Bombyx mori: one gene and its partners. The protein of the gene in region 4 interacts with the protein of the main gene of each other region in a pairwise test. Links are inferred from orthologs where the notes say so. Each region holds a gene or a part of one and is shown on either strand. Other genes may lie near its edges. The genes, in order: peroxisomal membrane protein 11B, peroxisomal membrane protein PEX16, peroxisome assembly protein 12 and peroxisomal biogenesis factor 19.

Region 1 (5,891 bases), on a different chromosome or scaffold from region 4:
GTTGTATGATGGCTACCCGCCACAATAGATTTAATTTTGGATTTGAGAGATAAATACGACAAACACTACTTCTACTATAAAAAAATATAAATCATATTTAGCTTATTGGATGCTGATTGGCTAGGTAGTCCAGCATATGTTTATTTATAATTGTAAATGTATGTCTAGTAGATTGGTCGTATAGTAAGCCCACTCGAGCAGGTTTCAGCACTTTCAGTACTTAACTTATGAATAAGCTTTCAAGTAAAATTTGGACAAACACGCTATTCATTGATAATCAACGATTCTATTGTATTATTTGCAAGTGGTGGAGCGTATTGTAAGCTGGCACTGATAGGTACAACCATTCTGCATGCTTTTGCCGTGAACCCGTTATGCATGAGCGTGAAGTATGCTACTATAGAATACAATTGAGCCTCCAAATTCATATCTCCAGGTGGTTTGCGCTTTTGATCTTGTAGTGTAGGTATACAGGCTCTAGCCACAACTTAGCATCAAGTATGCTGCAGAACCAAAATCAATCTAGTGAAGTCATTACCTAACTCAACAGTACTCGTTCAGGTAGAATACAACATTAATGAAAATTACAAAATCAAAAACTTTAATGTAAATAATTTATATATTTTTTAAATCCCTTTAGTACCTTATGTACAAAATAAAATATAATTTTCCTACACCAATACCAGTATTCACAAAGTCACTCACTACAGCCTTATATATGATTAAAATTATTACATGGAAATATGTATACTGTAAGACAGCAAAAATATTTTTTACACATTTAATTTTGCTTGCAAAATTGAGAATGAAAAAACTTTATATACTTCAACAATTAAAAACTGATTCTCATCCACTGTATGCATCATGTATTCCTCAACAAAAATAATTTCTATTAATAACTTTGAATAAATCCCCATACATATATTATTTTGTACTTTTTATTTTTCATTCAAAATTATTATCACTATTTGAGAAAGTAGTCAGAATACAACTTTTAAACCTTTATTATATTTGAATTATGGCAAATTTGGAAATAGTTAAGTGTACTGCAATAAAAAAGTTGTGTATCACTGATCAAAGAATTCGCCAAATGGATGTCAGAGTATCTACTCATGGTAAACACTCAGTGCATTAAAATTATTATTATTATGTAACTAATTTATTCGTGAATGATGATGAATCATATATATGATATTGTATTTTATAGCATTTCTCATGTTCACTGAAACATCGTGACAAGACTTGATTTTGTTCATTCAAAAATTTAACAAACAATACAGTTAAATCTGTAATTTGTCACTTATTTTATGCCATTATGATGGTACCAATTTAGATATAGGTTGAACTAGAGTTATCAAAGCAGCAATGGAAGAGATAGCACCTAAAGTGCCAATCGCACTTGGACTCAATTTTATAAACCCAAGAGCTGTTAAGGGTATGAACAAGTCACATGCATTCTTCAATGTATCAACAAATATATCTCTATGACAAAGTAATAACACATGAATGTGTTTCAAAGTAGACATTAGATCAAATTTATGTACTGATAGATTTAATAAATCAGAAGGCCTTAGAAATTTTGAATTGTGTAGTTGTAACAAATGGAGTATTTCATAAAAGTCTCGTGCTAAATTTGCAATAATAGACAGTAACCAGAATTTATTTGCAGTTTGATTCCAAGTGTCTGAGTCTGTTTTTAGAAATCCACTTTTGGCCAACCATACTATGTGGTCTGCATACAAAAATAAACTATGTGATAACTTGCTAACTGTTATTGTTAATCTTAAAAATGGATCTTCTATGCTCATGCTGTCTAAAGCAATGTAGCAAACGTCTATGCATCTGCCCAACCTCAGAACTGAAAAGTTATTATATCCACATTTTAACATTTAATAATAATAATAAAAGCATTTATTGCCTTTCACACAGATTTAAGACTAATAAAAGTAGATAAATAAAAGAAAAGAAAAAGACAAAAGGAGGTGGTTCAGCTAATGCTGTTCAAAATGAATGCATCAAACAGTGCTGATTTCAGTCACCCCATTTCCCTTTGGTTTAATAAATTTTCATATTTTTTTTTAATAACTTTAAGGTAAGTGACACAAGGGTGAACTGATGGTGATTAGACACCATCACTCATGAACATCAGCAATGCCAGGGTCACAGCCAAGTGGATGCCTACAGTGATGTTTTTCAAACTAAATTTGAAGAAGAGCATGTCCTTAAACATCATATAGGAAAGTTTATTCCAGATCGATTTGACCTAATAAAATATATTTTTCTAGAAAGCGGGCACACAGTTGTTCCGAGAAGTAGAAATGAGTTTGGTAGGGGTATGATGGTATCATGGAGATCACCGGATCAACTCAAAACAATTTCTCAAATTTAAAGTACCCAAATTGTTCTTTAAGGTTCCAAGAATTGTGTAATATTGTTTACCGGTCAATAGTATTTTGTATTATGCTCTAATAAATAAAATAATAACATCCCAGTGTTCGTTTGTAGTTGGATTGTAAGTCTTACGAATGGTACAAATAGTATTTACTTACTCTTTCTAAATGAACTAAATGCATTTTCCAAATTTTTTATTCTATCTATGGAGTATTTATTAGCATTCCTGGTCTCCAATTGATGCCATACAAGCTTGCTAATATATTGAATAAATCTAGACAAGACAAATAAATCTATTATTAGTAGAGTAGAGATTAATAAAAGCCAGTTTGTATAAATAAACCTCTTCTGTCTATGAAGTTTACCTTGCCAATTTGTCTCTTCCAATGGATTGATTATTTACTTTTATAATTATATCCATTGCGATTTCGTCATGGACTTTGTGGAGTAGGGTCAAATCAAGTGAAACGCAAATAAAATGTAAACGCTACGCCAAGAGCGTTCTTAGTACATACTTGTAGTAACTTGCTCGTATGTTAATGTGGATCGTTTTTTGGAAACTGTAACATAGAGTTGCGTTTTCATTACTTAATATAAATGGCATATGCCTTTAAGATTACTTAAGTCTTACAACTTACTTACAGTCTTACTTACTTAGCAAAAAAATAGAATGTTTATCTACATACACTGGTAGCTTTTTTAAGGGATTTTATGACCCGGTAACTAAGACTTTTAGGTCGTTTCTTATTTTAATTTAATAAATTCTTATTTTTATGAAAAATGATAAAATGGAGTGAAATGAAATGAAACGAAGAGGATTAATTTGAGACATTAATCAACTGGGATGAAATTAAATGAAATGAGATGAGATGATAAGAGATGAATTACAATCTCAGTAAAATGATGGTCATTTAGTGAGATTTTTTCAGAGGACTTTTTGGAGGATCCCGACAAGTTACGTCCAGCGGCTTTGTTCCACTTTCCCACATTTGTGCACTTTCACAGATATTAAACAGTTAATAAACCACCGTTATTACACATTTAAACCTGCAGAAACACTAAATAGACAAAATAAAACTATTCACACAACTTCACTCCTCGCGTTCCCGCCAAAAAGTACCGGTAAAATGGGGCGATTAGGGATTGAAAGGCGAATCGGGAAAAAACCGGGAAAATCTTTCGACGCTCAATATAAGTTTTATATTCGTTGCAAAATCTTCCATTTTTTTGTAGTTTAATAGTAGAATGTTGAAAGTTCACAAAACAACTCTGAATATGCATGATAATAGCTGCTAACTTATAAAAAATCGCGTTTCAAATTAACTTCCTGTGGTGGTAATTATTTTAGTGCTAGAAACTTTGCTCTCTTTTATTTATTTGATAATAATAGAAGACGACTATGATTTATAAACGTTATTTAGTGTTTGAACCAGCATATATATTAAAGGTAAGTCTCAGTTGTTATTGGTTTTAATGTATTTGATTAAATAAAAATACATGTAAAAATCTGTTGTTTTTGGGGATATTGGGGACGTCTTAGGTACAAATAACAACGAAAAAGAGGTCAATTGGGATGAGAATACGTGAAATGGAAACGACCTAAGTATAAATAGGTACAGATTTGTAGGGTTGTCTATGTAGTTATAACAATATTTTTTAAATTTGTTGGTAAAAATCTGGTTTATCGAAGCGAAATTGGGAATAAATCTTTAGTTGAAATAGATAAGCAATTTAATATAAGTAAGTCGATTTTGCAGAGACATGTAACAAGATCAATGAAATCTCAAGGTGGACAAAAATGTCTAAGTAATACATAATAAAATATTTAATATTTGTTCAGAGTGGGGGTATTCATCTGATTAATCCATGGAATAACCGACACACCTAATCTCTTAACCCAGATAGAAATATCAGCACTGTCGATTGCACCTATAATTGAGGTGATGTCTGCCATGTACTTTTGTCAGTTTTTCAATTTTTTTTATTGATCACTTTGTTGGTGCAACTAAATAAATAAATAAATTAAAACTATATATAAAAATAAAAGTAGTGCCAACCCTAGCAAATTTCTCATTTCGTCCCAATTAACCGCAATTTTCGGGTAAATAGGGATTAGACCTATTTTTGCATTTTTTGCTTAAACTGGAATGCTAGTTGCATAATTTTAAATTAGACAACAAAGATGCCCCCAAGACTCAATCATTTTGATCCTGATATAGCATTATATACATCAACAACTACCATAAAATTGCTCATAAAGTTGGAATTTGTCCCTAATCGCCCCATTTTACGGTACTACACTGGTAGCATTTTTTTAAAGTGATTTTATGATCTGGTAACTAAGACTTTTTGGTCATGTCTTTTTTTAATTTTAATGACAGCTTTTTTAATGAAAAATGATATTATGAAATGAAATGAAGTTGATTATTATTATACATGGCATGAAATGAAAACGAAATGAAATGAAATGAGATAAGATGATATGGAATGAAGTATAATCTCAGTAAAATAGGGGTCATTTGCTGAGACTTTTTCAGTGAACTTTTTGGAAGATCCCGAGAAGTTACGTTCAGTGGCTTTGTTTCATTTTCCCATTTGTGCACTTTCACAGATACTAAATAGTTAATAAACCACGTTATTACACATTCAAACCTAAGAAACACTATTAAATAAAACAAAGCACACAACTTCACTTCTCGCGTTCCCGCCAAAAAGTCCAGATCATAGGTAGCTTTACTTCTCTTGGGATACAGATCAGTAATTTTCTCTATTAAGTATTCAGTTTAGCAGTCCATATTACAACAATTAGTTAATTAAATCATAGCAATTTCGACAGTAGCATGGATGTGACTTGTTATGTGGGGGTTGTCCAAAGAATTGGATGGTCTAGACCATGCTGATGACTAATGTTTTTTTAATCATGAAGTTGTCTGCATGCAATCCAAACTGGACGATATATAGTTGGAAGCGCCAAAGTTGGTTTTAAGATCAACTCGATGAAGACCCAAAAAACACTTATCGGACAAAATCCGCTACCCGTAAAGCTGGTTACAGAACCGAAACAGCGTACCTATCGTACATAATACAACTCAGAAGAAACGGCAAAATAATTTGGGGAAATATGTACAAGAAATTCAGAAATCACATTTGGCAACCCTCAGCCAAACTGCCATTTTGTGAGATTCCCATGTAATGGTCGATATTCTTGATGCTTATCAGCGCTTCTAATTTCAAATTTACATTAAATAAAGTTGAAGTGAACGTGATTATTTTAAAATAATTGTCTACTTAATAATACGAATTAGTTCGTCCAAGATTGAGGTTTTCAGTGATCTGCTGAGTGATTAGTGTTTGTAATTCGTTTGGGGTAAGAATAGTGCATCAGTGGGTTACTTTATTGTATCGACCAAAACTAATTTACAGTGACGTGTAATATTGTGATGTGTATTTCAGATAGTAGTTCGTCGAAGTGAGCTTTCATGATTGGATTACCGCGTAGC
Region 2 (6,034 bases), on a different chromosome or scaffold from region 4:
GTTATAGCAAATGTGGTTAAATCTACAAGTCGGTATGATATTTACGCTCAAACAATTTATTGTATTTTGTGCATTTTCCAACTCAGTAAATGAATTTGACGCCACTGCTCGTCAACTTTCGCAACATCTTCCTGGTTTTTCTTGTCTTTGATAAGTTTGTATGTAGAAGCTTGCTTCGACGAAGAACGGCTGAACCAGTCATGTTTATTTAACAATGAATTCGAGATTTCTGAATTAATATGTTAATCTGAAAATTGTCCGCTAAAAAGTAAGTCTAAGCCACCAGATCTAGTGGAAATTCCACTGAGTTGGCAGCACTAATACTGACAGATAAATCATAGATTTGATGTTTGTTTCATCCTTTCTTATAAGCAAAAGAAGAGATAGCTCATACAGCTCAGATATAAAATAGCTCATACAGCTAACTACTTTAAACGGCAAAGGCTAGTGTAGGTAGCATCGAAATGAATTTAAAAACCTGTCGGTAAATAGTCAGGGTTTACTGAATATTAAATGTATTTTATAAAAACCGTAAAATGTCCAAATGGATAACTTCGGTAGATTCAATCGCCTTACCTCAAGATGGGTTTTGCTCGAGTTGTATTTTCCCTCACTCTTGTTTGGGCAGATTATGCATGAATAAATTAAGAGAGAAAGCAAAAAACGAGGTGTTTTAGAGGTGGAGCATCATTCCCGCATAAGATTTTTATTTATTGCTTAGATGGGTAGACGAGCTCACAGCCCATCTGGCGTTAAGTGGTAACTGAAGCCCATAGACATCTACAACGTAAATGCGCCACCCACCTTGAAATATAAGTTCTAAGGTGTCAGTATAGTTGCAACGGCTGTCCCACCCTTCAAATCGAAACGCATTACTGCTCCACGGTAGAAGTAGGTAGGGTGGTGGTATCTACTCGTGCGGACTCACAAGAGGTCCTACCACCAGTAAGAGATTAATTAAAGAGAGAGATAAATAAGAAGAAGAGATAAATAAGATTTTAAAGCCAATTCCTCAATTCGAAGAATAACTCGTTATTCGAATTTAAGGAAATTTGTTTTTCTTACTTTTATTTCTTGTTTCTAATGGTGCTATTAGTTGTTCCATTTTTGTAAATACATAATCGCCATAGCTTATATCATCCACATTGTCATGAATTTTATTACCAATACATTTCCATCTCTGATAACAGTTACAGTTTGAAGGGTGCTGCAGTTGACATGCCAACAATTGGGATTCGAAATTGTAGTATTCGTTGGCTTTGGCAGTGCTCAACAAGAGCTATTTCCAACGACCCCACTTCATTTAATATAGTAAGCGAAAACGAAGTTTTTTTGAAGTTTTGAACTGATAATGCTTCCCTTTTTTTTATTGCTTAGATGGGTAGACGAGCTCACAGCCCATCTGGCGTTAAGTGGTAACTGAAGCCCATAGACATCTACAACGTAAATGCGCCACCCACCTTGAAATATAAGTTCTAAGGTGTCAGTATAGTTGCAACGGCTGTCCCACCCTTCAAATCGAAACGCATTACTGCTCCACGGTAGAAGTAGGTAGGGTGGTGGTATCTACTCGTGCGGACTCACAAGAGGTCCTACCACCAGTAAGAGATTAATTAAAGAGAGAGATAAATAAGAAGAAGAGATAAATAAGATTTTAAAGCCAATTCCTCAATTCGAAGAATAACTCGTTATTCGAATTTAAGGAAATTTGTTTTTCTTACTTTTATTTCTTGTTTCTAATGGTGCTATTAGTTGTTCCATTTTTGTAAATACAGAATCGCCATAGCTTATATCATCCACATTGTCATGAATTTTATTACCAATACATTTCCATCTCTGATAACAGTTGAGCAAAATTTGGTAAAAATATACTGTAAATTATTGCATCATTTGCATACTTTTACTTTTGTCCAAATATCTCCTAATTATACTTTCAACGTTTCTTTGATATAGTAGACTTCTACAAAACTATGATAAATTCGCCATAATCCAACAAGCAATCTTGGTTCTAGCAAAAAAAATGTACTTTATCTACAAATTTCTTATTTTTCTTTTCAGTCAGACTTTCTAGATTTTTCGTGTTCTTTGAAATATCAAAAACCTTTAACTTATGTCTGTAGGTTCGAAAAATTAATTTAGGACTTATTTTATATTATTATTATTATTTTATATTAGTTTATAAATTTACCGTTTATTGATGAAAATTAACTTCAAGACGCAAGATGCACGAGAGATGTATCGTTTCATTAGGTAAATATACCATGTAAATGTACAAGAAATTCTGATAGATAGTATTCAACATTTGAGAATCAAAGGTTTCTTGCATTGTACGTTTGCCAATATCGTAAACATTCACACAGCCTAAATAAATGTATTTAATTATTTTCTAAATTATGATTTAAGATTATTTCATTACGATTTGGCCGTACGAATTATCTTTAGCTTAACTTATCCATTTGAACAAAACAGTAAGTAAATTCCATTTGGTATTGCAAGTACCAAAAAGTATTATAGGTTTGATTTCTTTTGCCTGTTTATTAAAGAAAACCATTGAAATCAAATGTGTCATTTTTGTCAACAAAGTAAACTGATAGGAGACTGGTTCTAAAGTTCAGTGTTTTATATTTATGGTTAATTTACACAGATGACTTGTTATAATTACTAAACCTTAGTGGTAAATCAATTTAACAGCTAAAGTATTCTGACCAATTCATAAATAATTTTTGTTAAAAAATGAGTAGCAAATTGTCGTTGCAAGAAGTGTACACTGCGTACAAGCGATGGGTGATCAGCAATCCGAGCGTGGTGACAGACGTCGAGACCGTTGCTACATGGACGTCGTATTTCGTGGCCGGTAAAATAAACAAATCCCCAATTATATCTGAAATGATATACTGCATGTCAAAGCTGTTATCATTGTATAATGATAGACTTATTCGAGACGCTTACGGTGCCGAAACTTCATCTTATGGACTTCGTGAACAGATTAAAATATGGCTCACTATCATTCACTATAGTGAAGTGTTTGTAGAACTCATTGCCAAAGACAGATGGGGACAACGAGGCAAGTGGACCGTTGCAACTTTATTGCAGCTCTTCAAAGCATCGTCCGGATTAATTCTTCTGTATCGATTCAAAGAACTTCCCATATCACACCCCCCTGTTGCTTTCTTACAAAGAAAGAAGTATACTGAAGGCCGAGATGTTGAAGAGCATGAGAATTCATTTTTTAAGCTTCGCAGGTCTGGCCGTGTTATGAGACGTGTTGATGGAGCACCTCCAATTGCTTTTCGAGATTGGACGCCAGTGAAAATAAAAGATGATAGACCTGTGCCTGGCATTGAGGTTAAGGACTTATTGTATGCTGAGTCATTACATGTTTTGAAGCCATTACTTCATCTTGCTGCAATGAGGTTCTTTGGAAATAAAGCCTGGAAGCAGTGGTTTGTGGCTCTCAGTATTGATATTGCCAGTCTCAAAGTATACAATAGGTATATGAAAGAGTTATCATATGAACAAAGGCTGGAAATAAGTCGAAGAAAATTAGGCTTAGTCCTATATTTATTACGCAGTCCTATGTACAATAAATATTCTAACACTGTAATAGAAAATGTTCTTAATTCTGCTTCAAAGAAAATACCTATGATGTCATTGATCTGTGGCCCAATAATCCAATACTTAAATCACTGGCAAGACATTTACTTCTATATGTGGGCATCATAAGTAAATAATTAATTAATTAATACAAATCAGTATGTTTCATCAATAAGATTTCAAACTAAAAGTCTACTATAGATTTGAAAATTATAATTTAATGGAAAAATTATGATTAATATTAAATCATTACAGAATGTTACTGTTATCTTTAAGGTATAAATCTAATCCAAATGGTCTGTAAAACTCAAACACAACAGTTTGTAATAATTATATACTACCTAATGTTTAATTTCACATGCAAATGGGAGTAAATATTCAAATGTTTGCTCTTCGCTGGGACAATTTTGTGTTATATATACATATATGCTTCATAAACTGTAAATAATACAGCTTATGTACATTTTTTCTTATTGTTCTTTAAAAAAGAATTTGGACAGAAAGTATTTATGATCAATAGTGGTTCTTGTAATTTTGCTGGCAATCTGATCCACAAAGAGACAAAAAAAAATTGGTAATACATTATCAGAAAACTTAAATGTGATATTTTGCAAATATCTTTATTGTCAAACGAGCATCTCTAGAACAGTTTTGTTTTTTATTAAGAGATATCAAGGTGGAAGATTAAAATCATTCCTTAGTATTTTGTAGACTGTATGTGTAACTGACATTAACTATTAATATTACCTTCAAAATGATTTCAATATTTGAGACAATGGTAGTGTGTTTCATATAGGTGTTGGATACTGTATTATTTTTATCTACTTTTTATATCTATGAATAGATTTAATTATTCATTGACCGGAACATTTGAGTTTGTGAATGGATAAATATAATGATGGCAAAAACCAATCTAACTGATGTGGTCTAGAAAGAAAAAAACAATAATATTTTTTCAATATAAGTGAATCCATAATGTCGAATTCTTTACAGAAACTGAAATAATAAAACAATCTTGTAGTAGTAGTAAATTTAATTAAACAGATATGAAGAGAATACAAGCACATTGTAATATGTCAAGACATAAGAATGATTCAGATTTTAATCTAAATATGTGGGTAATAAGAAACTTTATCTGTTTGTAAAATCTGTGTCTATTAATGGAACATTTTGCATTATGAATTGATATGTCAATAATCGAGTAAGAGAACAAGGCTATGATGTCCCAAGCAATGAATTGAGATATGAACTAAAATATCGCAGCACAGATCTCTGTCTAATAAATGACATTGCAGGACAAAGACAGTCAACGAGCTGCATCTAAAGAATCGTGATTCTTAGGTACTTATGAAGCTATGAAGGAATGATCGAGGCAGAGTGTCAACCATAAACAAAGTAGATTTCAGTTGTACAGTTCGTTTATTGATTTACTTTTTGTCAAGCCGACACGTTGTCACCTCTCGCACTACATACCTCTGGAAACGTCTGATAAGTGGCCCACACACTAGTCTGGTTACTGTAGTCTGTAGACCCGGAAATGTGTATACCGCTACTCCCTTCGAGACATTTGGATGCGCAGGCGCAGAAATAAGTAGGACGGCGAAATCAACCCGGGCGAGCTCGCAAGACGCCTTACCATCAGTGTGCTTAGTGTGAGTTTTTTAACGTCCTCGATAGCGTAAAAGTTACCTGAAATTTGTATGCAGCCGGAACAGTGCCCCCTAGCGGCAAACATAGGCAAACGTTCCAACTCCCTACAAATTTGACTTTTACGCTATCGTGAACGTTAAAAAAACTCGCACTAAGCACATAGTAAAACTGAACTATATCGTATATTGCAATGTGCGTATTCGTAATAAGGCACAATTTGGCCATACCTACTGTCGTAGACTAAAGATGTGTTGCTTTTAATGACCCTCATGGTATACATATAGGTGGTCTTGTTGAATAACTTATTTGTTGCGTATGCTGGTACTTGGGTTTGCGTATTTGTATATTTGCTTTGATGCCTAAAACAGAGATGAGCTGAGAAGCAGTAGTTAATGTTTAATGGTAAATAATGCAAATAACAGTCCTTTTTGGTTAACTGTAGATAATAATTGCAACTGCAAGAGCTTTGGAAGGCCTTTTGCCTTTTAAATTTGTGTGGACGAAGCGTTTGTGAATACAACAAATATCTGACCTTGTACCTACTGGCAGATGCTACGCCAAGTGAAGTGCCACCATTGTACATTTATTTCCATGAATCTTATATATTTTTTACTGTATTGCAAAACAATGACTCAATAAATGGAATTATGTGTAATATAAAGTGGTCTTTATTAATTTATATGTCTTCTTATATATAAGACGTCCTATCACCAGTAATTACGCTATTAAAATGTTCGCGTGTTTAATTTTAATATTTTTTATTCCTTCACCGTGTACTTAAGTCATTCGT
Region 3 (5,868 bases), on a different chromosome or scaffold from region 4:
ATAAAACTCGCACTAAGCACACAGAATGGCGGTTCCGGCGGTCGCTGTGAACGGATTGCAGACGCTATATGAGGCCGTCAGCGCAAAAGTGGCTTAAACTCACCATGATTAGTAGTATGGAGATAACAAGGCTTAGATTTACTTTTACACTGCTTCACAGGCAAATACAATACGCGCAAACATAATGTTTACAAAGCCATCTGTTATCTATGAATGAAACCAGGGATAGGCCAGTTTTGCACCAAAATTTAATAAGTTTTAAATAATGTAATACATACAATATGAAAAATTGTGGGTTAGGCCACTTTTGCGCTGACGGCCTTATATAATACAAACATTACTGTATTCTTGTTAAAACTATCAATGAATACCAAATACAAAATCGTACCCGATTTGCCCAGACGACAAATTCTTGAATAAATCACTCCAGGTGTATTCGTCCTCGGGCAGTTCCTGGGGGGGCGCGTTCCTCAGTGTGAGCCCCAGCGCCGCCATGGGCAGCGAGTGCGACGGGGAGCCGCCCCTCAGGTAGCGCGCCAGCTGCACCAGCTGTAGACCCTCGTACACGAGGTGGAGGATCGCGTACACTTTTATCGCTGCCGAACGAAGCCGGCCCCGCGTGTCCTGAATGACCAGTGTCCATAATACACCCAAGCGCTGGTCTTGTATCAATGCACATAGTTTTACTTGTGCTCATTTTGTGCACCTGTGATGGTCGGTACCACCGTGCAAGACAAGTGCCTTTTCTGCCGCGGAATAATCCAGTGTTCCGGTCCGGTGAAGGAAGAAGCCGTAATTCAAAGTAATCGAGACTACGACCTCATCTCTTAACACGTCGACTGCCATGTAGGTCACCAGTGCCCTACGCGGCGCACTGAAGTAACTACGTCGATTTACTGGTGGTAGGACATCTTGTGAGTCCGCACGGGTAGGTACCACCACCCTGCCTATTTCTGCCGTGAAGCAGTAATGCGTTTCGGTTTGAAGGGCGGGGCAGCCGTTGTAACTATACTGAGACCTTAGAACTTATATCTCAAGGTGTGTGGCGCATTTACGTTGTAGATGTCTATGGGTTCCAGTAACCACTTAACAGCAAGTGGGCTGTGACCTCGTCCAACCAGCTAAGCAATAAATAAACCGGTGACCCACATGGCAGTGAATGTGTTAAGGTATTCATGTTGTGGCGGGCTCCAGCGGATCCTGTCCTGTGTCATATCATGCCCCATCAATAATTGAGTATAACTATTGGAGCTCTTTCTCTTCAGTAAGACAGATTCTGATATAAAATTACAATGTGCTGTAAAACCTAGATAAACGCGTATTGTATCATATAACAGAAATGATAGTTTTATCAAAATAATTTACATTAGCTGATAACTGTAAAATTTACCAACAACATGTACTGGTGTCGTAAACTTTATGACGACTTCGTTATGTAAGCGAATTCGTGTCTTTAATGTTATTAGTATTGTGTCTAATTATTACTAATATCTGTTATTTCAAGGGATTGAAGAACATGACACGTCATAGAGATGATAGCCAATTTTACCTTATTTAACATTTTTTTGTGAACACTAAATATACAATTTGTTATGTTTCATGAAAACACACATTAATAATGTATATGAAATCATTTAAGCTGATTTCTATATACTTATTGAATTTCAAAACAGCAGCATTTCTCCTAGCAGTAAAAAAAAACCCGTTAATCTGAGAAGATCCAGTAACAAAAACTCAGTGGGAAATTATAAAAAAAAAGTTTTTTAAAGGGCATTTCTATTGTAAAAATTAAAAGTAAAGTTAAACAGAGTCAATTTCCCTCATCCTGCCTGTCAGACAATCATTGTCTTTATAAGATTCCCTTTTCTTACTTACAAACAAACATTACTTGATAGTTCTCTTAAAATACATGTACGAATACAAAATACATACATAAATGCACAAACAGTATCCGAACGTTTAATTCATTAACCTGACTAAGAAACTACTGAGGAGGTACAGCTTCCGCTGCCCAGCTAACTCTACAGCTGATACAACAACGGGATCAATTGGAACGAGTACTGGTTGTGGGATGTTATTGAGATAGTACAATCTCCAGAAGAGTTAAGTAATCTACGTATTTAACCTAACTAATTAAGTTGCCTATTTGACATAGTGCAAATCAGACACGCATATTATATTCTAGTTTATAAAGACTTAGTTACTCATAATCAGCAATTATATATTCCCATATTAATAATTAATAATACAATAAAGGTTGTAGTCAGCTACCTATTTCTAATCGTCACATTTTCAAATTTTAATTGCATACCTTACCAAGTTTCCCATCTTCATTGTCTTCCCTCCATTTATCAATAATAGCACCGACTTTGTCCTTAACGTATGGCAACAATACTAGAAGTGCAAGAGATCCTCGCTCTAAGTCTATTGGGAGACGTTGTCCAATGCTGAACTCACTACTGTACGATATGGGCACCCGGAGTAGACCATAGAAACTTTCAGAAAAAGATGCAGCTGTAACCATAAATGAGGTTTTAAAATCATTAGCAATCCGTTAATCTGTTTTTTTCTTTCTTGCTAAGTCCCACCCTTCGAACCGAAACGCATTACTGCTTCACGGCGGAAATAGGCGGGGTGGTGGTACCTACCCGTGCGGACTCCCAAGAGGTCCTACCACCAGTGAAAAACCTGTGTGTATGAGAGGCTCCATCTTGCCTCTTTATGATAACAATTATGCAGTCTGGTTTTATTACGAACTCATATCTCAAGATGATGACATTCACATTGTTGTCTATGGACTACAGTAAATACTTTTGTAAGTCATTGTGGCCTAAAAGTTAAGATGCTTGGTACATTCATGTCAAACGATACCACTGTTGTTCTAATCTCAGTGGCAGGACCAATTATTCTATGAAATACATACTTAACTTTTTTAGTAATGAGCTTATTTTCACATATTTTACAGAAATTGCTAGTGTTTTTAAAAAAAAGTACCTTATGAAAAGTAGCTTAAAAAATACAAAAATAAAAAGAATTTTAAAAGATTATTATTATTTTAAAGGATAAGACTAAAATATAATAAATTAAATCAGAATTACCATAATATTTAAGGTAATTGTACTGCACTATACAATCAAACAGCAAATACAGTTCATCGTACCAATGAGTGCACCAGCTGCATTTGTTAGGGTACAGCACTGATAAATACTGAAATCATTTCAAATTTTACATCCTCATTTAAAACAAATTAAAAAAATTAAGTTATATTCTACATTGTGTCTTAGGACTGTGTGTAAGTAACCGTTGTATAATGTAGTATAACAAATTAAGTATAATGTTGTTTGAATTTGACAATTATGATGCGAAGAATCCACCAAGTACCATAGTTGTTCCTCTGGAGGTATAACTTTATTAAGTTTCATACTATCCTGGCCATTAAGCAAGTTGTTCATGTCACTAACACTCAATACTTTCCTAACTTAAATTTGAAGTTTATTTAACTATTAAATTAAATTGACCACAACAATTATTTTAGTTAAGAAATTAACGGGAATAGTCTTGAATATGGACAAATTATAATATAGTGATATACTTACTTCAATAACCTTCCTGAGAGCAGGTTTTAAAGTAGTTCCAAGGGCCTCCTGTGCTGTCACTTGAAAAACCGATGGAGTCCCTTGGAAGCTGCGTGTTAAATGAGCCGCGTATACCGCCATTACATTAAATATTACAATATCAACCGATTAACAAAATTGAACATAATAGTATAATGTTTTGGTTATTTAAATTTTTAATTTCTGTTTATTTTCTCAGCTGTTCTTTTTTTTTTGTTAAATCATCCATCATGTACGCAAAGGGAGCCATGGCTGATAAGCCAAAAATCTCTTACAAGAAAAGTCGAAGACATGTTGGTTGTGTGAAAAAATAATGTTAACGAAATAAAATTATATTCCCTGAAGATTTGCTATGGAACGAAGAAAATGTAGTTAAATGATTAGAGATGAGACAAAACTCAGTAGGTGCTGGATAAAATGAAATGAAATTATCTCACAATAAAATGAATCTGTAGTAAAATGTTGGTCAGTCGGTTTGACACATAAATTGACTTTTTGTGGGGAAAATCTCGATCATAGACTTCAATTTCACAAACTATTGATTCAGATGTGCTAGGGTCTTGCTAATCTTCTTAAAATCATTACAATTTTGGTACAAGAGCTCCTCAGGTCTACTTCAATCGCGGATTAAAAAAATCCGACCCAGTTCCTTTATTCGAGGCTAAAGATTTCTTTATTTGAGGATCTAATTGGTACATTGTGGGACACATTGATAAAAAGGATTCCAATATAAAGGAATCCAACCAAATATTCTTAGTAAACGCGTCGTCAAATTGACTAATAAAAAGGTAAAATAGACCATATTACAACTATGCTTAAGGTATGTTATTAAATGTTTTTTATCTTTCCCCTAGGAACGTATCCCCTCTATTGCCGTATACATATGTAGGTAAATTACAATTTCATATTCAATTCTTGTATTCGCAGCATATTTTACGGAATACATTCCCTGCGGATAAAGAGCTTTTACTGTATATGGACTGCCTAAGAAAGTACTTTTTACTAACTTACCATTTTAGATTTACTCAATGAAATCTGGAGAAATGTTAAATTAATAAAATGAAACAATTCGTTTAGCTTAATGTCTCAAGTGTTAGGAACATTATATTTATTCACGTAATTAAATTATAAGAGCTGAAACATTATTGTAAATAAGTTACTGATTCCATTTCTACACTATAGTCATGAAACTGTTAGGATCATTTTAATTTGCAGTATTATAAACAGACCCAAAATTAGTAACAACCTCTATCGAAGTATGATTAAAATATATTTATTTAGGGCCAAACCTTATCCCCATCATTTTTGTAAATATTCAGTCAAACTATTGACCTGTAGAATAATTTTATTCATGCCTTTAATAATAGTTTCACGACTATAATAAAACTTCTGTTGACTTCCGGTCTCCAAAAAACACGGGGGCGGGCACACAAAATGATGGCGTATTTTGTCACGAATTGAGCGAAGTTATATACAAACAATTGCAATTTGAAGTCAGGACCAGGACGATCTACGAAAATGGTTACCGGTTAAGACAATTTATGAATTTTATGTAAAGCAAATATGTGAAATTGTAGTAATAAAAGGAAGCAGCCAATGAGTGTTTGAATTTTTCGGCAAAAGCCAAAAAACGTTAAAGTCATGTCTTATACCCTACCAGTAATTAATTATAGATAGCTTGTATCTTTACCTGTATTGGACTTTGGGTACTTGCGCAGGCAAAAGACCTCATTGACCATATAGACAAGGATTATTTAAAAAAAATGCTATTTTTTGTAATGCCATTGAGTAACTTCTAACGAACAAAATCCATTCTTAGAAGCCAAAATAAAACGATTATTTTCCTGTTTGGAATTAGAAAAAGTTTTCAACTCATTTACAAATAGGTAGGTAGCACGTATTCTTCTTTATAATATTACTTTAGAAGCTTTGTATGTCTGTACGTATTAAAGTTTTATTATGAGTTTGTGGTGGTAGTGAAATGTCCAGCAACATGGTGCAGCACGAGCGTCGCCCGGGGGCCGCATCAAACGATGACACTATCGTAAATTGAATAGTGCTGTTTCAAATCAGTCTCACCAAAATTCGGAAAAAAACAAGACTCGGTTTCCTCAAATTTATTTCTTTATTTTCACAAAATATAATATTTTTGTAAAGCAAACAGTAGCACCTATTAAGTCAAGGCCATTCACAATCAGTTATGCATCACAAGGAACATCTACACAATATTAAATAAACTACATTTCTCGTTCAC
Region 4 (5,803 bases):
CCTCTTGTGAGTCCGCACGGGTAGGTACCACCACCCTGCCTATTTCTGCCGTGAAGCAGTAATGCGTTTCGGTTTGAAGGGTGGGGCAGCCGTTATAACTATACTCGAGACCTTAGAACTTACATCTCAAGATAGGGTGGTGATACCTACCCGTGCGGACTCACAAGAGGTCCTACCACCAGTAAATAGATAAAAGACTTAATTGCGTGTTCTGTTATATGTATAATAAGATAAGAGCATTTAAAAGTCTTGATCTCTTTTAAAATCAATATTAAAAATTAAACAGTATTAATAAGCTATACAAAATTTTTAAGTCCTCCCTTTTTACTTAATCACAGACTTCACTCCATAACAATGGATGTCAATGAAGAAAACTCATTTTTAAAAACTATAGAGTTTTAAATAAGAAAGGTTTTTCTTCATATATGTATAGTAAGTAATACACGGCACAAGACACTACTGCATTTTAACCCTGAAGATCCCAATCATTGTAATAAGACAATTTTATTAAATTACTAGCTTTTGCACGCGACTCCGTTCGCGTGGAATAGTTACTTTGGCATATCACTAAATTTTACCCCCACTTCATTTACGTAGAAAGTGAAAATATTTTTGAATTATAGAATGTTAAGGAGCTATAAGCCCCTATTTTGAAACATTCTTTATTGGTGCTCCACTTGTATCGGCCTTACCGTGATGTTATGTAGCCTATAACCTTCCTCAATAAATGCGTTATGTAACACTGAAAGATTTTTTCAAATCAGACCAGTAGTTCCTGAGATTAACGCGTTCAAACAAACAAACTCTTCAGCTTGATAATATTAGTACAGATTGTATTATCATTGGTCCTTGATAAGTGTGTGATGTTTTAATTAAATTGGATACTTTAAAATCGGTGAATATCACATAAAAAATATATCATATACATACTATGGTATGCCAATTAAAGTGTGTCAAAATAAGCCGCAGATTTAATGTTGATAATAATCTGATTGATTAATTAGGTACTTGTTTGCCTTGTTTGGCTTCAGCTACAACATTCCTTTCATGAAATCCTCAACTTAACGACCTTTTTCCTCCCAAATTCTATTCACTTTTTTTTTAAGATAGGCATTATCCATCCTACATAAACCTAAGCCATTCTGCTGACAAATTTCTGTGGCAAGGGATCTCTCAAGGGTGGATCAGCCATTACAACTGAGGCTTGGAAGATGTCTCAATGTGAGTGGTTGAAATTATTGTTTTTTTTTATTGCTTAGATGGGTGGACGAACTCACAGCCCACCTGGTGTTAAGTGGTTACTGGAGCCCATAGACATCTACAACGTAAAATGCGCCACCCACCTTGAGATATAAGTTCTAAGGTCTCAAGTATAGTTATAACGGCTGCCCTACCCTTCAAACCGAAACGCATTACTGCTTCACGGCAGAAATAGGCAGGGCGGTGGTACCTACCCGCGCGGACTCACAAGAGGTCCTACCACCAGTAAAAATTGTGTATGTGGTTTATTATTTGTTGTTCGTATTCACGGGATATTTTCATTCCGAATATACAAAAGACAAACACTCCATTTCAACAATACATATTATTATACTTAATGTGTACAATATTAAAACATAAACCAAAAGTAAAGTAAGCAACGCTAGGCACTGGAAGATACGAATTAAAATTAAAATTACGTTTTTACATTCAACTTAAATCGACGCGCGCGCGAATCTTGCTGCATGACGTCACGGGACACCTGCGCGTTCAGGAGCTCCGATCGCGTCCGATGACGCCCGAGTGCGACCGAATGTTGCACGCTACATATATGAAGCAGTGTTTCCACAACGAGGGGACATTCCCCATTTGAGGGGAAATTAGGGTCCATAGGAGGAGAAAAAGAGAAGACATCAAAAGGGGAAATTGCGGGAAATCATGGGTAAAATCTAAAATCGATAAAGACCTTTTTTTAGTTACTACACTAGGGCCAAAAGTAAAAACTACAGCAGAAACATTTTTGAGGAGAAAAAGCCCTGAGAAGGGGAAATTTGAATTGAGGTGTGGGGAAAGAAAATCATTAAAGTGGAAACACTGATATGAAGTCCACTAGCCACTTGAAGCTAGATGGAACCTGGCGCACTAATTGACGTACCTGGCACTCCACTGAAACTGCCTAGGATAGCTGCCATGTTGCTCTCAAACTGAGCAGCTGCTTCTTTGATAAATTCCTCGCCCCACATGTTCTGCATTGCTTCGCCACCATCAGGAGTGGTATCGTTTGGCTTATCATCTTTCTTCTTTGTCATATCCTGAAGTGCACCTGGAATAAATTTACACCCTGAGTGACAGTTTTTTAGTATGACTTTCTGTGACTATTAATCTATTGAGGCCAGGTTGGTTAGAGTGATATTTTGTTAGTTATATTTTCTAGATTATGAAAATACCGAAAAACTAATAATATGTAGCAGTTTTATCTTTTAGATATATGTAAATCTAATTTTTAAAATAAAAATTTAAATGTTAAGAGTATAACCAAAAATGAATCAGGTAAAAGATACACTGACAGAAGAACAACTCCTCCCTATGGCATGCCACAATAGATATGTCACTTGAGTAAATAACCCATAGAGTTGACAACAGGCCGGTGTTGTAAAACTCACACCAAAATCCTATGCAGCATGATAGGAGGATATGTGCCAGTCTCCATTACATGGGTTGAAGGCAAGCGGAAGACAGTTTGATAGAGTGGTAGGTTAGGTTTTTTTTTCATTGCTTAGCGGGTGGACAAGCTCACAGCCCACCTGGCCACCTGGCCCTTCATGGCAGATATAGGCGGGGTGGTGATACCTACCCATGCGGATGATGATCATCATTATCAAATTAGGAAATATCATGAATCATGATATTTCCTAATTTTAGAGGATGAAGAGAAGATAGTAAAGTGAGAGCAGCGTGCAATGACCATGAGGTCCAGTAATCAAGTGTACTCATCTTAAGCAGTACAAAACAGCAATAAGCTAGCTATTAATAAAATTTAACAAAAAAATTGTCATTTGATGAATAAATGAAAACTAATGATAGTGTTAATTAATTATGCTCAACATTATTTTATCTTGATTACGTCTAATCAACATTGCTAAACGCAATAAGAAAAAATACGGAACCTTTTTTTTTGAGTTTGAGGATTTATCGTCAGTTTTACATTTTAAAATTAAAAACTTTCATACGCGATTACTTAAATAGAATAAAGAAATATTAAAGATGTTGATAACTGACAAAGAAGACATTAACAGAGAAAACAAACAAAATTAGCATGCACTTAGACCGTAGGTTATTGTGTAATGGAAAATCAACACGATGAAATGTAATCAAGATTTAACAACTTACTGTTCAATAAATCGTCTAATTCAGGATCTTGATCGTTTTTGGATGCGTTCTTATTGTCAGACATGTTTAATCGGTAATAATTAAAATAAATTCAATAGAAAATTGGTTCAGAAAAATTTTCACGTTGAGTGACAAATTTGACAATAGAAATTTCAAAGGTTGAAATGAGCATGAATTTTGAGTGATCGAACTAGCTCATAGATTATACACTTATGAACTATAGCTAATGAATGGGTTTTTTCCCTGTGAAAAGACAATAAAGGCGTTTTGAAAAGGTTTCGGCACTAAGAAACAGATCGATTTTAAGTGAATTTACTACAAAATCTTCGCTGACCAGTAGAAATGAAATACAATTTTAATAAAAAAATATGTATTTTACTCTATACATGAAAATAAAATTAATGAATATCGATGATTAAATTTCGATAAAACGGTGCATTTCCAATAGACATTGCAAAAGCAAAACGTTTGACTCATTCATTTGTTTGTTGTCTTTCTATCATACGTAATGACTATAAGACAAAAAGAGACAAAAAATATTTCTAAGATTATTTCGTTGACCTTGAAGCATGGAGTTAATAAGTACCTACAACAGTAACTCTATGCCTTGAAGTCATATGACTTCACTGAAGGTAACTAATTTAAGCGGGAATTTTAAAACCCGAACCATGAGTTTCTTAGGTTACATTAAAAAATCTATAATATTTAAAATATTGTTTGATTGTAATACATAATTCTATTTTCATTTTTTTTTGCTTTTGTTGTCTTGGAATACTTACCCTAAGCTTTTCGGTATTTCGATCTCTCATTCGAAATAAAATAAATGGAAATGAGACAAATATTTAACAAACTGGCTTGAATAAAAAAAAAACTTAGTTCGAAAAGTGACATATGTTTTGAAACTTCAAAGCCATTCAAATCGGCCATGGTATACGAAATGTGGTAGTTTCATAAAAAAATAAATAAAAAGTGACAAAAAAATCGCAAAAACGTTGTTTAATCACAAAAAACAAGGAATATCAAGATAATTACAAATTTACGTATGCTCTTGAAAAAGTCGTGATTTTTACGAAAATGTCCAATAAAAAATCTCAGTAAGTTACAAAATATTTAAGTAGTCAACTCAAGGGACCGGTAGTTGGCACTTGGTTAATTTTTTCCAATTTTGTTTTTTTTAAAACGGAATAGCACACGGTGAAGTGTTATGTAGCCGATAAATGAAACAAAATAGAGCTCGCAAAATTTACACATTTGTACAATTACTACTGGTAGAAGCTTCTTGTCCATGTATGTGCACGTGGTTAGGTACCAAATCCACCGTATTTCGGCAGCGAAGCGAAGCGACCATTTTGTTGTTACAAAATTTGTTTAAACAATGCAACTCAGATTTTGACTTTGGGTTTCAAGGTTCCAAGATGGCATTCATCTTGTTCTATAAGCTCTGGTCATTTAACAATGGGCCGTGAGCTCTTCCATCATTCTAGTCCAACAAAAAACCTCAAATACTGGCAAACATCTACGAAAACAGGATACTTAAAACTTCTTATTTTTAAATTCACCTCCCACCAGGGCGCCAGCAGGTGGAGACGCTCCTCCACCAGTCGACAGAAAGAAGGACGATAAGAAAAAGGGAAAGGAAGAACCGCCAGAGCCGGAAGAAATACCGAAGACACCATCGCAAATCGATAGAGAGTAAGGTTTTTTTTTTAAAGTTTAGAAATGAAAAGGTTAGAAGTAAAGAGAACCATCTCAGTGTATTAAAAAGTGTCCGCTGAAAAGGAGCCAATTGCGGTGCGCCACAGTAGCAAGTGGAAGGATTTTAAAAACAGCGCCTTAAACTACCACACTTCATTTCAACCCAGCAAACTTTACTCTGTTTAAAACTGCTATATTCATATCATTTCCACTTCGTACACTAGCGCTATTTCGGTGAGTCTTCCAACAATAATTTGCTGTGTACTGGCGGACCCTTTTTCAACTTGTCCCTTAAATAAGATAGTACCTCTATCTATCATCCACAGTACCAACAAAGCGATCACCAACTAAATATCGACGTATGGTCAAGAAGGGAGATAATAATTGTCATATCTCAATGTTTTTTTTTTCTGCTTAATTATTGCGGGGCTATTCCAACTAGGCGCGGTGCGGGAGTTTTTTTTTACTGAATGATAAGTACCTCGCTGTAAAAGAGACAATGTTTTTGTTGCTCCGAATTTTGCTTTCAACTGTGGTTTGGTCGTCTTCCTTTGCGATGCGGCTTAGTAAGACCTAGAATTTGGTTTAGTGTAGGAAAGAGGTGATATTTTACCCTACCTATTCGCTGGTAGCCCAGCGGGCTATTCCAATTACGCCCGGACGGGTAAGGTGAGCTCACGGGCTCAACCTGAGAGAGGTTGCTAACACTACCTAGTAAGTACCTACCTAGTAACCCTAG

What was found.
Region 1: the proteins of peroxisomal biogenesis factor 19 (region 4) and peroxisomal membrane protein 11B interact in binary tests that used the Homo sapiens proteins (3 or more experiments, as listed by UniProt). The link is inferred for Bombyx mori from reciprocal best matches to the Homo sapiens genes PEX19 and PEX11B.
Region 2: the proteins of peroxisomal biogenesis factor 19 (region 4) and peroxisomal membrane protein PEX16 interact in binary tests that used the Homo sapiens proteins (3 or more experiments, as listed by UniProt). The link is inferred for Bombyx mori from reciprocal best matches to the Homo sapiens genes PEX19 and PEX16.
Region 3: the proteins of peroxisomal biogenesis factor 19 (region 4) and peroxisome assembly protein 12 interact in a two-hybrid assay, tested with the Homo sapiens proteins (4 studies listed by BioGRID and IntAct, with this or other methods). The link is inferred for Bombyx mori from reciprocal best matches to the Homo sapiens genes PEX19 and PEX12.

What each region holds. Positions count from the first base shown.
Region 1 is NC_085125.1:10,169,901-10,175,791, forward strand, and holds peroxisomal membrane protein 11B, read right to left. Parts: upstream 3,509-5,891; 5' UTR 3,034-3,508; exon of another isoform or gene 3,030-3,033; intron 2,952-3,029; 5' UTR 2,813-2,951; coding exon 2,757-2,812; intron 2,666-2,756; coding exon 2,550-2,665; intron 1,859-2,549; coding exon 1,314-1,858; 3' UTR 601-1,313; downstream 1-600. Other genes in the region: RNA-binding protein spenito, read left to right, coding at 5,871-5,891. UniProt on the Homo sapiens protein: Involved in peroxisomal proliferation. May regulate peroxisome division by recruiting the dynamin-related GTPase DNM1L to the peroxisomal membrane. Promotes membrane protrusion and elongation on the peroxisomal surface.
Region 2 is NC_085107.1:1,912,269-1,918,302, reverse strand, and holds peroxisomal membrane protein PEX16, read left to right. Parts: upstream 1-2,538; 5' UTR 2,539-2,733; coding exon 2,734-3,723; 3' UTR 3,724-5,905; downstream 5,906-6,034. UniProt on the Homo sapiens protein: Required for peroxisome membrane biogenesis. May play a role in early stages of peroxisome assembly. Can recruit other peroxisomal proteins, such as PEX3 and PMP34, to de novo peroxisomes derived from the endoplasmic reticulum (ER).
Region 3 is NC_085122.1:395,973-401,840, reverse strand, and holds the start of peroxisome assembly protein 12, read right to left. Parts: upstream 3,872-5,868; 5' UTR 3,717-3,871; coding exon 3,597-3,716; intron 3,208-3,596; coding exon 3,099-3,207; intron 2,515-3,098; coding exon 2,312-2,514; intron 625-2,311; coding exon 389-624; intron 1-388. UniProt on the Homo sapiens protein: Component of a retrotranslocation channel required for peroxisome organization by mediating export of the PEX5 receptor from peroxisomes to the cytosol, thereby promoting PEX5 recycling.
Region 4 is NC_085129.1:20,648,522-20,654,324, reverse strand, and holds the start of peroxisomal biogenesis factor 19, read right to left. Parts: upstream 3,608-5,803; 5' UTR 3,434-3,607; coding exon 3,370-3,433; intron 2,303-3,369; coding exon 2,135-2,302; intron 1-2,134. Other genes in the region: uncharacterized protein LOC101735788, read left to right, coding at 4,444-4,463, 4,939-5,061. UniProt on the Homo sapiens protein: Necessary for early peroxisomal biogenesis. Acts both as a cytosolic chaperone and as an import receptor for peroxisomal membrane proteins (PMPs).